3 linked regions of the Oryctolagus cuniculus genome follow. The protein of the gene in region 3 interacts with the protein of the main gene of each other region in a pairwise test. Links are inferred from orthologs where the notes say so. Each region holds a gene or a part of one and is shown on either strand. Other genes may lie near its edges. The genes, in order: TSGA10IP, METTL17 and CEP70.

Region 1 (3,744 bases), on a different chromosome or scaffold from region 3:
TCTACCGTTGCGGCCAATTGGGGAGTGAACCATCGGATGGAGGACCTCTCTCTCTCTCTCTCTGTAACTCTGACTTTCGAATAAATAAGTAAATCTTTAAAAATTTTTTGTTTTATTTATTTGAAAGGCAGAGGGACAGAGAGGTCTTCCATCCACTAGTCCACTCCCCAGATGCCCGCAACAGCTGGGCTTGAGCCAGGCTGAAGTCAGGAGCCAGGTCTCCCGTGTGGGTGGCAGGGGCCAAGTCCCGGAGCCATCGCGGCTGCCTCCAGCCGCAGACCAGCAGGGAGCTGGATTGGAGGTGGAGCTGGGACGGGAACCCAGCAGACGCTCAGGTGATGGGAGCGTCTCAGGCAACCTGCCAGCCCCCTGCGCCACAGCGCCTGGCCGCTGTCCTCACCGCCGTGCAGCCCGCTTTCCCAAGCCTCGCCCTGTGATCGCGCAGCAGACCTCTGAGCCGGGCCCACGGCCCAGGTGCAGGAGCAGCAGTCACAGAGCCTGCAAGGCCGCTCCCGGGGGGCGGCGCGGGGGCCTTGTGGGGGTTCACATCCCAGGGCTTTGCTCGGCACTGCCGAGAAGGCTGGGGTCAGATTTCGGGGCCGAAATTCCTCCCAAGGCCTCCTCCCTGCAGCCTGCCTGGGCCTCCAGAGTGACCCAGTCCTGGGGTCCCTTTTGCGGATGGACGGGGAAACACAGGCCGAGGCTACGGCAGGAGAGCCGCTCACACAGGGTCCGTGGCGGCGGCGGGCTGTGGCACTGGTCCTGTGGGCCTCCAGGCCTGGGTCGCTCCTCAGCGTCCAGCTGAACTGTCCCCTGGCTGGCCGTGGTCCTCACCTACCCTGGAGGACCCCTCCCTGAGGTCCCTTTAGCCAGAGCGCTTGAGACGGGCTGGGAGCGGTTGCCGTGGAGATGGCCGGAAGGACAGTTCCACGCTGTGGTGGACGTGGGGGTGGGGACGGGACAGGACACCAACATGCTCCACACCCACCCACAGCTGGCCAGGCCCTCACCCGGGAGACCGGGCCAGGACCCTCGGTCTCAGGCTCCAGGGACGGCCACGAGGCTGCTTGACCTTCTGTCCAGCATCCCCCAGGCAGAGCAGGTGAGGGGCCCCGTGGGGGGGGACTTCCAACTGCCCAGAGGCAGGCGGGCACTGGGCTCAGGGGCCAGGACTGGACTGAGGCCCCAGGGGAGGGGTATGAGGGGGTGGAGGAGGGGCACAGGGTGACTTCGGGGTGACGGTGTGATCCAGGGGACATGGACCCCGCAGGAGAGACAGGTTTCCGGGATCGGACGGGACGTCAGAAGAGCTGTCCACTCGTTACACTGCTTCATCTGACGAGGTCTTTATTGCTTATTTAGTGTTCATTCTCTCAGTTTGTTCACTGATTTTTCAGTTTTAACTGAGATGGAATAATTGGGCGTGTTTCTGGGGCACACCTGGGCATCGGCACACCCACCCCTTAAACGGTCCTCATCCCTCTGCCTTGGGGACTCGTGAACTCCTCCTGGCTGGGGACAGATGGCACGGGGCTGGGTCCCGGCTCCACGGCTTCCCAGCCATGTGTGCTCACGGTGAGACCTGGGTCCCGGGCGTGGTTAGATGCGTTCTGCGAGAAAGGCCCGAGCAGGTGGCAGGAGCCTCATCAATGGCAGCCGTTGCTATTTTTTTCAAAGATTTATTTTATTTATTTGAGAGACAGAGTGACAGAGAAAGGTAGAGACACAGAAAGAGGTCTCCCATCCACTGGTTCACTCCCCAGATGGCCACAGTGTTCAGAGCTGCGCCGATCTGAAGCCAGGAGCCAGGAGCTTCTTCCAGGTCTCCCACATGGGTGCAGGGGCCCAAAGACTTGAGTCATCGCCCACTGCTTTCCCATTAGCGGAGAGCTGGATGGGAAGAGGAGCAGCCGGGACATGAACTGGCGCTCCTATGGGATGCCGGCGCTGCAAGGCAGGGGTTTAACCCACTGCGCCCCAGCCCCAGCCATTGCTAGTTCAATAGGAAGACTTGAGAGTGGTGATGGGTCTCAGAGGGGCCCAGTCAGGGTGTGCAGGGGAGGAGAAGGACTCCAGGGATGTGTAGAGGTGGCCTCCCCTCTCCCCACCCCGTCTTGGTCCAGGGGAACCCCAGGAGCGGCGAGGGCGCCCCGGTTCGCAGCCTGCTGCAGAGGTCTCAGAGCGCGAGGCAGACGTCCAAGAAGGACCACAGGCCCCGGCGGAGGAGCAAGAAAGCCCAGAGCTGCGCGGAGGCCGAGGAGTAAGGGGCAGGGGCGGGCTGGAGGGGGGCTGGCGGGTGGGCGTGGCTCGGACCCGGACCCGACCCTGACCCGACCCCCGCCCCGCCCTCTCCCTCTTCAGTGTCTTCGCTGCTCCCCGGAAACCTTCCTTCCCCTTCCAGTGGGCCTGGGAGAGCTTCATTACAAGTGCCTCCGCGGGGTCCCAGCCCAGCGGCCCCTCGGCCCCCGGCCCCCACGCCCCGCCCTTCCCCCAGCTCAGGTCCCGGCGCGGGTCCGTGGCCAGCCTCCCGGACGCCCTGGGCTTCTGCCAGAAGATGGAGGTGCAAAGCCCTGAGAGGAGGCAGCAGCAGCTGGGGGCCTGGAGCCCCTCGCCTCAGGGCAGAGGGGAGAACCCAGGGCTGGAGGTGCCCAGCGAGCGTGCCCTCTGGCCGACGGGGAAGCCGGCAGGACCCGCGCTGGAGTGGGAGGGGGAGGCCATGGGCGCCGAGGAGGAGCCCGAGAGGGACCTGAGCCCCCGCCAGCTGCCCCAGCTGCCCCGCAAGGGGCTGCTCTCCGAGGAGGACCAGTGCTCAGAAATGACGGAGGAGGACGAGGACGAGGAGCTCGGGGCCCCCCACAGGAGGAGGGCCGGGCCCCTGACAAAGGGGCAGCACCCTGGGGACCCGCAGAGCTGGAGCCAGAGCCGCAGGAGCAGCCCCAGCTCCGGCCACCTCCCCGGGGCCCAGAGGAGGAGGCGGAAGGCCCGGGAGCTGGAGGGGCCCTGGGACCTGGAGATGCTGCGTAGGCAGCTGCAGCAGAACCTGGACTGCGGTGAGCGAGCGCGGGGCTGAGCCCTGGGGCTGGGCTGGGGCTGGGCTGGCCCCCGCGGGCCGGGACGAGGGTGGGCCCTGATCTGGCCCCACCGAACCAGGCCCCCAGAGGCAGCCCTGGAAAGCTCTCCAGACCCCCGTCCAGGCCTCTGACCGCAGCGGGAAGGCACACGTGCTGGGAGATGACGAGACGTTCCCGTCTGCCAGCCTCCCCAATCGCACCTTCCACAAGCGACAGGAGGCCACCAGGTGCGGAGAAAGAGCGGGGAGGGCGGGGAGCCGGCAGGAGCCAGCTCTCCGGGAGCCCCCGGCCGTCCTCCCCGCCTTCGCCTCTTCATTCCCACCCTGTGTCCACCAGTCTTTCTGACAACCCAACCACCGTCGGCCATCCGTCGGCCCGCCCACCCACTGATGGCATCCAGTCAGCCACTCCCTCACCCATCTCTCTGTGAACTGTTTGTCCACACAGGCCGCTTTGCCTCCATCCCCTGCCTCGTCTTCCCGCCCTCCTTAACCCATGCATCGTGTGATTCACGCAACACAGACTGAGCACGCGCTCACGGGCCTCGGGGTTTGGAGATGGACTCTGGGCACCCAGGGCCCGGGAGAGAGGGCTTTGGGCAGTTATGTCCGTTCGGTCGGGTAATTGCTCCGCGTGGGCCTGGACAGGAGACTGGGAGCGGAGGGGTGTCCTG
Region 2 (3,744 bases), on a different chromosome or scaffold from region 3:
TTTGCTACAGATATCAAGAGTTTACGGCACAGTAAGCTTTTTAGTGTTACATGCTAACACCTCCAAACACTTAGCATAAAGTTAACTAACTTGTGCCCCAACCACCAACAATATGGGGTATAGCATATTGTGTAAAAATGAAATCAGTGTTAAACTAGCTGTCACCTAACAAGATTTGTGATCTCAGGGGCCGGCACTATGGCACAGCGGGTTAAAGCCCTGGCCTGAAGCACCGGCATCCCATATGGGCCCCAGTTCTAGTACTGGTTGCTCCCCTTCCCATCCAGCTCTCTGCTATGCCCTGGGAAAGCCGTACAAGATGGCCCAAGTCCTTGGGCTCCTGAACGAACCCCTGTGGGAGACTCAGAAGAAGCTCCTGGATCCTGGCTTCAGATCGGGGCAGCTCTGACCGTTGCAGTCGTCTGGGGAATGAACCAGCGGATGGAAGACCTCCCTCTCAGCCTCTACCTCTCTCTGTAACTCTTTCAAATAAATAAAATAAATCTTTAAAAAAAATTGTGATCTTGCACATATTTAACCATTAGAAGTCTCACTTTCCTCAAGTGCAAAATGGGGCTGACAGCAGGATATGCCTTGGTAGGAACTAGATTACATAGAAGGATTTTCTTCCTTAATTTTGAAAATTTATTTTTAAACACAGAGAGAGAATCTCCTGTTGATTCACTCCTCAAATCCCAGCAACAGCAGGGGTGAAGCCAAGCCTAAGTCAGGGACTGGTCATTTAACCCGGGTCCCCTACGTGACAGGGACCCGAGGACTTGGGCCATCACCTGCTGCCTAGCAGGGTGTGCACCAGCAAGAAACTGGAATGCGGAACCCAGGAACTCTGATATGGGATGCTGACTTCCCAACAGACCCCAAGGAGAAGTTCCTAGCACATTACCTAGCATGTGGGCGTTCTCAGCAAGCGTTAGCGTTAGCTTATTGCTAACTGACGAGAAACTGACAACTAATTAAACTGTTAACTAAATTATTAATTTACTACCTTTAGTAGTTTAAATCTGGTTTCCTCACCTTTTCATTACTGCATTCTCCGGTTCACAGAGGAAAACAACTCCAGATTCAGTTCTACAGGGAGAAAAGCAACCAGATTTTGACAGCCGAAAGCCCGCCTCCGTCCCTCATGCCCCGCCCCCTCAATTTCGGGCTCTGCAGCACCCCCTTTCCGCCGATCAGGTCGGACCTGACTTCCAAGTCCCGCCCACGAACGGCTTCCGCCGCGAGTAGATTTACATATCGACTGCTTATTGGCTACTAATGAGCACTCCTTCTTCTCATTGGTTGATGCTGTCTCGAGCGAAATCCCGGAGGAAGTTCCGCGCGTCGTTGGGAGCTGAGGGTCACTTTCGTTTCTGTTTCCGGTTCGCCTGCGAAGGCATGGCGGCTGCGTCGGGAAAGAGGTTGCCCTCGATATTGGGCAGATGGCGCCGCGGGCTTCGAATGGCCCCCCAGTCCCGGGTGAGTACCTACTTTCTCTGCTCCCGAAGAAGCTCTGGGACCCTAGAGACAGCTGCGCTCCAAGAAGGAGCTGTTTGGCAGCCGCTTCCTTTAATTGAGAGCCCTCAGTCTTCCTTTGTGGCTGGCACCCAGCTTTCCTTTCTCGGCTTCCAGGCGCTGGCGGCCCTTGTTCGCGGCGTGAGTCAGGTAGATAACAAGTCCGATTTTCTGGGGAAGAAGCCTCACCGTCGGCACCCTGGCATCCTACGTCTGCCGTGCGTGCAACTGCCACAGGCACTGGCTGACGCCGCCCAGCTACTGCTACTCCGTAAGTAACGGCGGGAAAGGGGTATCCGAGGAGAAAAAGAAATGGGCCTTTGCACACAGGTAATTCTGCTTTTCATCTCTGGCCTCCAGAGAACGCAGTGCCCAATGTGGAGAAGCATGTGCAAGCACTGACCAATTATCTCTGGAGCCGACACTTGCCCGTAGAACCTGAGGAGCTACAAAGACGGGCTGTGAGTCTGGAGAAAAAGTTCCTGGAAAACGCAGGTAGGATTGAAGACTGATGAAAGATTAGGCCGGATTGAAACTGGGGAATGAAGTGCAAGAGATAATTTTACAGTCTCTCAAATAGATATTGGAGTTTCTTATTTGACTTTCCACCTTACTGGAAGATAGATTTGTTCCAGAGACTACCCTTGGGACGTGAGGAAGGGACAGAGTATGGCAATTGAAATCTGGATCCCAGTTGGGACCATCTACTTTTTTTTTTTTTTTTTTTTGACAGGCAGAGTGGATAGTGAGAAAGAGAGAGAGAAAGGTCTTCCTTTTGCCGTTGGTTCACCCTCCAACGGCCACTGTGGCCGGCGCACGGCGCTGATCCGAAGGCAGGAGCCAGGTGCTTCTCCTGGTCTCCCATGGGGTGCAGGGCCCAAGGACTTGGGCCATCCTCCACTGCACTCCTTGGCCACAGCAGAGAGCTGGCCTGGAAGAGGGGCAACCGGGACTAGAACCCGGTGTGCCGGCACCGCTAGGTGGAGGATTAGCCTATTGAGCCGCAGCGCTGGCCCATTCTTATTAAGGTGAAAGTCCCTGTAAAGTTAACTGCCTAATGCTGAAAACCTCTGGGATTGGAGAATACATGTAATATATTCACGGTTGTGAGCTCCTTCGTCTTACAGACCTTTTATTTATCTTGTGTCCCCTACACCCCCCACAATCTGGCTCTGAATGGGCATTTAGTACATACTTGCCAAACACAATAGAGTCCCTTTTCCACCTATAGGAACATTCAAGATGTCACAGTCTTAAGTTTTGGGGAAGTGAGGAAATCCACAAAATAATTGTCCTTCTCTTATCCTTTAAATCTAAATTGTATTTTCCTTTATTATAGAAAAAAATTTGTTGGGTAGGGTCAGTTAAGTTGAATATACTGCTGTTGGAGGCAAATACTATCTCATACACTCTAGGGGTGCTGGTGGTGATTATCCTTAGCTGAAATTTTTCTCTAGGTTTGGCTGCTTTCTTGAGCTTTGAGGCTTTTCCAGTGGGAGAGGGGAGAACCGGGAGGGCAGTGAATTAAATATTGGATCTGGTCTCTGTTCTCCTTAGGTCCTCACTTCCAGTCCTTGTTCTCACCGCAGACTCATCCCAGACAGAAGAAAAGCTTCGTGGAGCAGTGCTACATGCCCTGCGCAAAACCACCTACCATTGGCAAGAACTGAGGTGAGGGGGACTAGAAAACATGCAGAAGGAAGAAAAGTTGGACTTGAAAAGGAGAATGGAGCCGCACAATTGCATGATCAATGCAGTGTTTGAAAAAGTGCCTGAGTGATAGTGATCCCCAGGACCACTCTGCCCTGGGGAGTGAAAAGCTAAAGTGGAAGAGCCCTTTCCAAGATCTTATTTCCTCGCAATGGTCAGCAGGTGTGACTCTGATTTTTGTGCAGCTACAATGAAGGACTGAGCCTGGTGTATATGGCAGCGAGACTGGATGGTGGCTTCGCGGCAGTCTCCAGGGCATTCCATGAGGTGAAAAATCTGTGTCTAACTTGAACGCTCTTACCTGCTGTTCCCTTATTGATTCATAATGTAGTCTGTACGGTAGGGATTCTTAGGGTGCTGCGTAGGCTTTTATGCTTTGCTTTTTTTTTTTCTTTCTTTCTTAAAGTTCTCTTGTCCTGTAAAAGGATTCTGTGACCCAAGAAAGGTTCAGAACCACTATTTTAGGAGCTTGTTGTTAAGTGTTTATGTTGAATCTCAGAATGTGTTCACATCTTTCTT
Region 3 (3,744 bases):
GTGTTACTCCCAGCGCAGCGTCCATGGTGCCGGAAAGCCCTAAGCTGAAACTCCAACAGCCACAGTAAGCGCTGATGGCCTTCCTGGCTCACCATCATAAGCCTCCTCCCTCCTCTTCTCCCTTGTGGGTGATCCTGTGCCTGGCTGGAAGACTGCCTGCCTACCCCAAGCAGGAGGTTAGGAGGGCATGGCACACCATGCCTCCCGGGCACATTTCCCTGACCCCTGCTCCCAGGTGAAGGACCTTGTAAAGGGTCAAATAGGTAAACAACTCCTGGGTGTGCCCCAGACCCATAAGGACCACCTGGTAGGCTACTAGGCTATGTGACCTTCAAGCTGATTGGAGAAGCATAGTGGCGCCAATATCAGATCTATCCTATAGTGTTGCCCTGAATTAGCTACGCCCCCTCTGCCTGCCCTTTAAAAGCTTATGCTTCATCGTTAATAGACATGTTCACAGAAACTGGTCTTGAGTGCGTCTTGTCAAGAGCACCGTCACCAGTGCGGGCCTTGCAGGATCAGCCTACACCAGTCTGTGAAATAAACGTGGTGATAGTTTGCAGCAGCCTTTTCCCCACTGCAGGCTGTTAGAGGAGAAAAGTCCAGAACGCTGAAAGTCACAGAAGAGACTAAACTCTCCCTGGGGCAGAAGCGAGGCTGTAGCTCTACTCAGTGTCACAACACAACTAAAGGCAGGCTGTAGGAGTAAGGTTTGGGGGCTGAGAGTTGGTTTGCACTTGGCATACAGACAAGCAGGGGACAGGCATTTGGCTCAGCAGTTACCATACCTGCATCCCACAGCAGAGTGCCCAGGTTCACGTGCTGGCTTTCCTACCTATGCCAGCTTCTTGCTAGCACACACACACTGGGAGGCAGCAGGTTCTAGCTCAAGTATCAGGTCCCTGGTACGCAAGCAGAACACCTGAACTGAGTACCTGACTCCCAGCCCCAAGTGTTGCGAATATTTGGGAGTGAACCGGCTGATGAAAACTGTTTCTCTGCCTTTCAAATAAATAAAGTGAAAATAAATTAAAAAAAAACCATTAAAAAAATAGCCAAACACAGAAAAGCAAAAACACAGTTGTATCTTCCAGCACTGTCCAGGTTTCCCAACAATCTTTTGGGTCAAATGGTCCCTTATAATATAGCCTAACATGCATCAAACCTTAAAAAACTTATTTTTCTCGCCATTTGGGGGGCGGGGGGAAGAGAGCTGGAAATAACAGATCATGGCCAGTAATTTCTTTCTCAAGTGAGTCATACCGAAAATCTATAAACTTTCTCCGAAGGACGTATTCCAAATCACTCCAACAAATGAACACGCACGGCTTTCCAAGTCTGTGTTCTCCATGAAATGCAAACTAGTCCGAAGATAGGCCAACGTTCCAAAGGACGAACTGAATCCACCACCATTGGGCCCGGACGTCACCTCAACCAAACCATCCTGTGCCGGCGAGGTTACAAGGAGGGCCAGAACACCCTCCTCCCCCGCTCTGAAGCAACCCCGTCAGTGAAACTCCAAATCAGCCGCCTCGTACCCAAAAAGCGGAGCGGAGGCGGCCTGCTCTGCTTGGCAATACTCAAAGTAAAAACAAAAACAAATGCACGCAGAGGGCTGAGACCAACACGGGCAGTGGCTGCACGGCGTCAAACATTATGATGAGAAACCCTTGCTGACTGGTCTGTTACAAGCGTTACTGTTACAAGTGCCTCAGCTCGGGGGATTTTTCACCCTTTAAGAATCACATGAGGCTCCACGTGAAGTCAGAATCCCCTGCGCACCCCGGATCCAGAATGCGCCCGACAACCGGAGAAGGCGGGCTACGCGCCTCCGTGTGTCCCCGGCACCCTCCGCCGACACCTGCCCCACTCCGGGACGCCGAGGGCCGCGGCGGTCAGCGCCCGTCCGCCCTTCGCCGACTCGGCCAGGGTCTAGTCTGATCTAGCCGGGTCCGAGTCTGAGCTCCGCACTGCCTGCCTCGTCTAGCCCCCACAGCCGCCCTGGAAGGCAGCAGACTGCACACAGGAGCAAACGGAGACGCCGAAGACCACAAAGGCTGGGGGGCCGGGGCTCGAAGCAGGTTTAACCAATCCCCAAACCCTCACACAGCCTGCTGGAGCCGGTCCCAGCCCGCTCCACCCGGGGCGCCCGGCAACGCTCGGCGCCCACAGGCCGAGTCCCGAGCGCCACTCACCTTCCTCGGCCGCCCGGCCCGGCCCGGCCCGGCCCTGCCTGGCTCCGCTCCACCGCCTCCGGCCCCGCCTCCGCGACCGTTACCGACGCCAGTGGAGGTTGGCCAATCGAGCCCGAGCGGGTCGAGGTCAAACCTCTGCTCTGCCTCGGAACTTTCTGAGCGATTATCTCCGGCCTCTCGAGGAGGCTGGGTCCGCCGCGCGCCCCCTGGTTGGCTCCGGCTGCTGGGGGCGGGGCTTACCACCACCGCGGGCTGTCATAGGCCCGCTGACGTTTCAGTCGCGCTCTACGGCCTCTCGCTGGCTGGGGCTCTCGCTTACGGAGGGCCTCGGTTCCCCAGGAGATTTCAGATATGCAAATATGTGGCCGCAGGTGAAAATGAGGCTCGGAGCACCTGGCCACTGCGCAGGACCCTCGCCAGGACCGCGAGCTCCTGCTGGGGGAGCAGCCGGCGTGTCGAAGCTCCGGACCTGGGGGAGCCTCGGAGCGGCTGGCGTTTCACCCTCCCTTTGGGCGTTTTCCCGGTGGCCACGAAGTGTCTGGCCCTACATCGGGCTCCGTAAAATGCAGAGATGTGGACGCTGAGGGACAACGGTGGTTTTCCAGGGCCCTGTAGAGACTGGGTCTTGGGCTGCGTAGCATCTGGCAATCAGGGCTCACACTTGGTTTTCCAGTCAGTGTGGCCGTGGGATCCCAGGTGTCTCGTGGCTTTGTGGCGGGATTTTTGTGTGATTTCGCCCCCCCCTCTTTTTTTAATGGAAGCTATTCCTGCGCTGCAGTAAACTTTCTGAAGCCTCAGGCTTGTGTTTGAACCATCAGAAAGGTCTCCAGCTAGAAACACTAGTTCCGGCTTGCCCCTTCTCCCTGTCATTCTCCTTGGAATCCCAGGGCCAAAATTTGGAGATGTCTTGAGTTCTTCTGTTCATGGTGTTTATTCACGGTGACCAATCGACTTCCTTGCCAGACTTTTTTTTTTTTTTTTTTTTTTTTTTTACAGGCAGAGTGGACAGTGAGACAGAGAGAAAGGTCTTCCTTTGCCGTTGGTTCACCCTCCAATGGCCGCCGTGGCCGGCGCACCGCGCTGATCCAATGGCAGGAGCCAGGTACTTATCCTGGTCTCCCATGGGGTGCAGGGCCCAAGCACTTGGGCCATCCTCCACTGCACTCCCTGGCCACAGCAGAGAGCTGGCCTGGAAGAGGGGCAACCGGGACAGAATCCGGCGCCCCGACCTGGACTAGAACCCGCTGTGCTGGCGCTGCAAGGCGGAGGATTAGCCTAGTGAGCCGTGGCGTCGGCCCCCTTGCCAGACTTTTAAAAAAGAAAATCACCTGGGGAGCTTGGGAAACTCCGGATGCAGGGGCCGCCAGACAATCACACCAGGATCTCCAGGTGGGGACCCAGGCATCCAGAGTTTGTAAAGCTCCCCAGGTGATTCCGATGTGCAAGTGTTGTACCGATTCCCACCAGTGAAGACCACCAGGAGCCGACACTCATGCAAACGCAAGAGTTTAATTTCAAACTCAAGTTTGGTTGGACATCTGCACCAGGC

What was found.
Region 1: the proteins of CEP70 (region 3) and TSGA10IP interact in binary tests that used the Homo sapiens proteins (3 or more experiments, as listed by UniProt). The two-hybrid records come from large-scale screens. The link is inferred for Oryctolagus cuniculus from reciprocal best matches to the Homo sapiens genes CEP70 and TSGA10IP.
Region 2: the proteins of CEP70 (region 3) and METTL17 interact in binary tests that used the Homo sapiens proteins (3 or more experiments, as listed by UniProt). The link is inferred for Oryctolagus cuniculus from reciprocal best matches to the Homo sapiens genes CEP70 and METTL17.

Annotation. Positions count from the first base shown.
Region 1 is NC_091432.1:5,831,718-5,835,461, reverse strand, and holds the start of TSGA10IP (testis-specific protein 10-interacting protein), read left to right. Parts: upstream 1-906; 5' UTR 907-973; coding exon 974-1,102; intron 1,103-2,123; coding exon 2,124-2,260; intron 2,261-2,361; coding exon 2,362-3,050; intron 3,051-3,150; coding exon 3,151-3,298; intron 3,299-3,744.
Region 2 is NC_091443.1:53,913,542-53,917,285, reverse strand, and holds the start of METTL17 (ribosome assembly protein METTL17, mitochondrial), read left to right. Parts: upstream 1-1,321; 5' UTR 1,322-1,398; coding exon 1,399-1,479; intron 1,480-1,632; coding exon 1,633-1,786; intron 1,787-1,875; coding exon 1,876-2,010; intron 2,011-3,104; coding exon 3,105-3,186; intron 3,187-3,410; coding exon 3,411-3,492; intron 3,493-3,744. UniProt on the Homo sapiens protein: Mitochondrial ribosome (mitoribosome) assembly factor. Binds at the interface of the head and body domains of the mitochondrial small ribosomal subunit (mt-SSU), occluding the mRNA channel and preventing compaction of the head domain towards the body.
Region 3 is NC_091435.1:143,186,587-143,190,330, reverse strand, and holds the start of CEP70 (centrosomal protein of 70 kDa), read right to left. Parts: upstream 2,427-3,744; 5' UTR 2,196-2,426; exon of another isoform or gene 1,264-2,195; intron 1-1,263.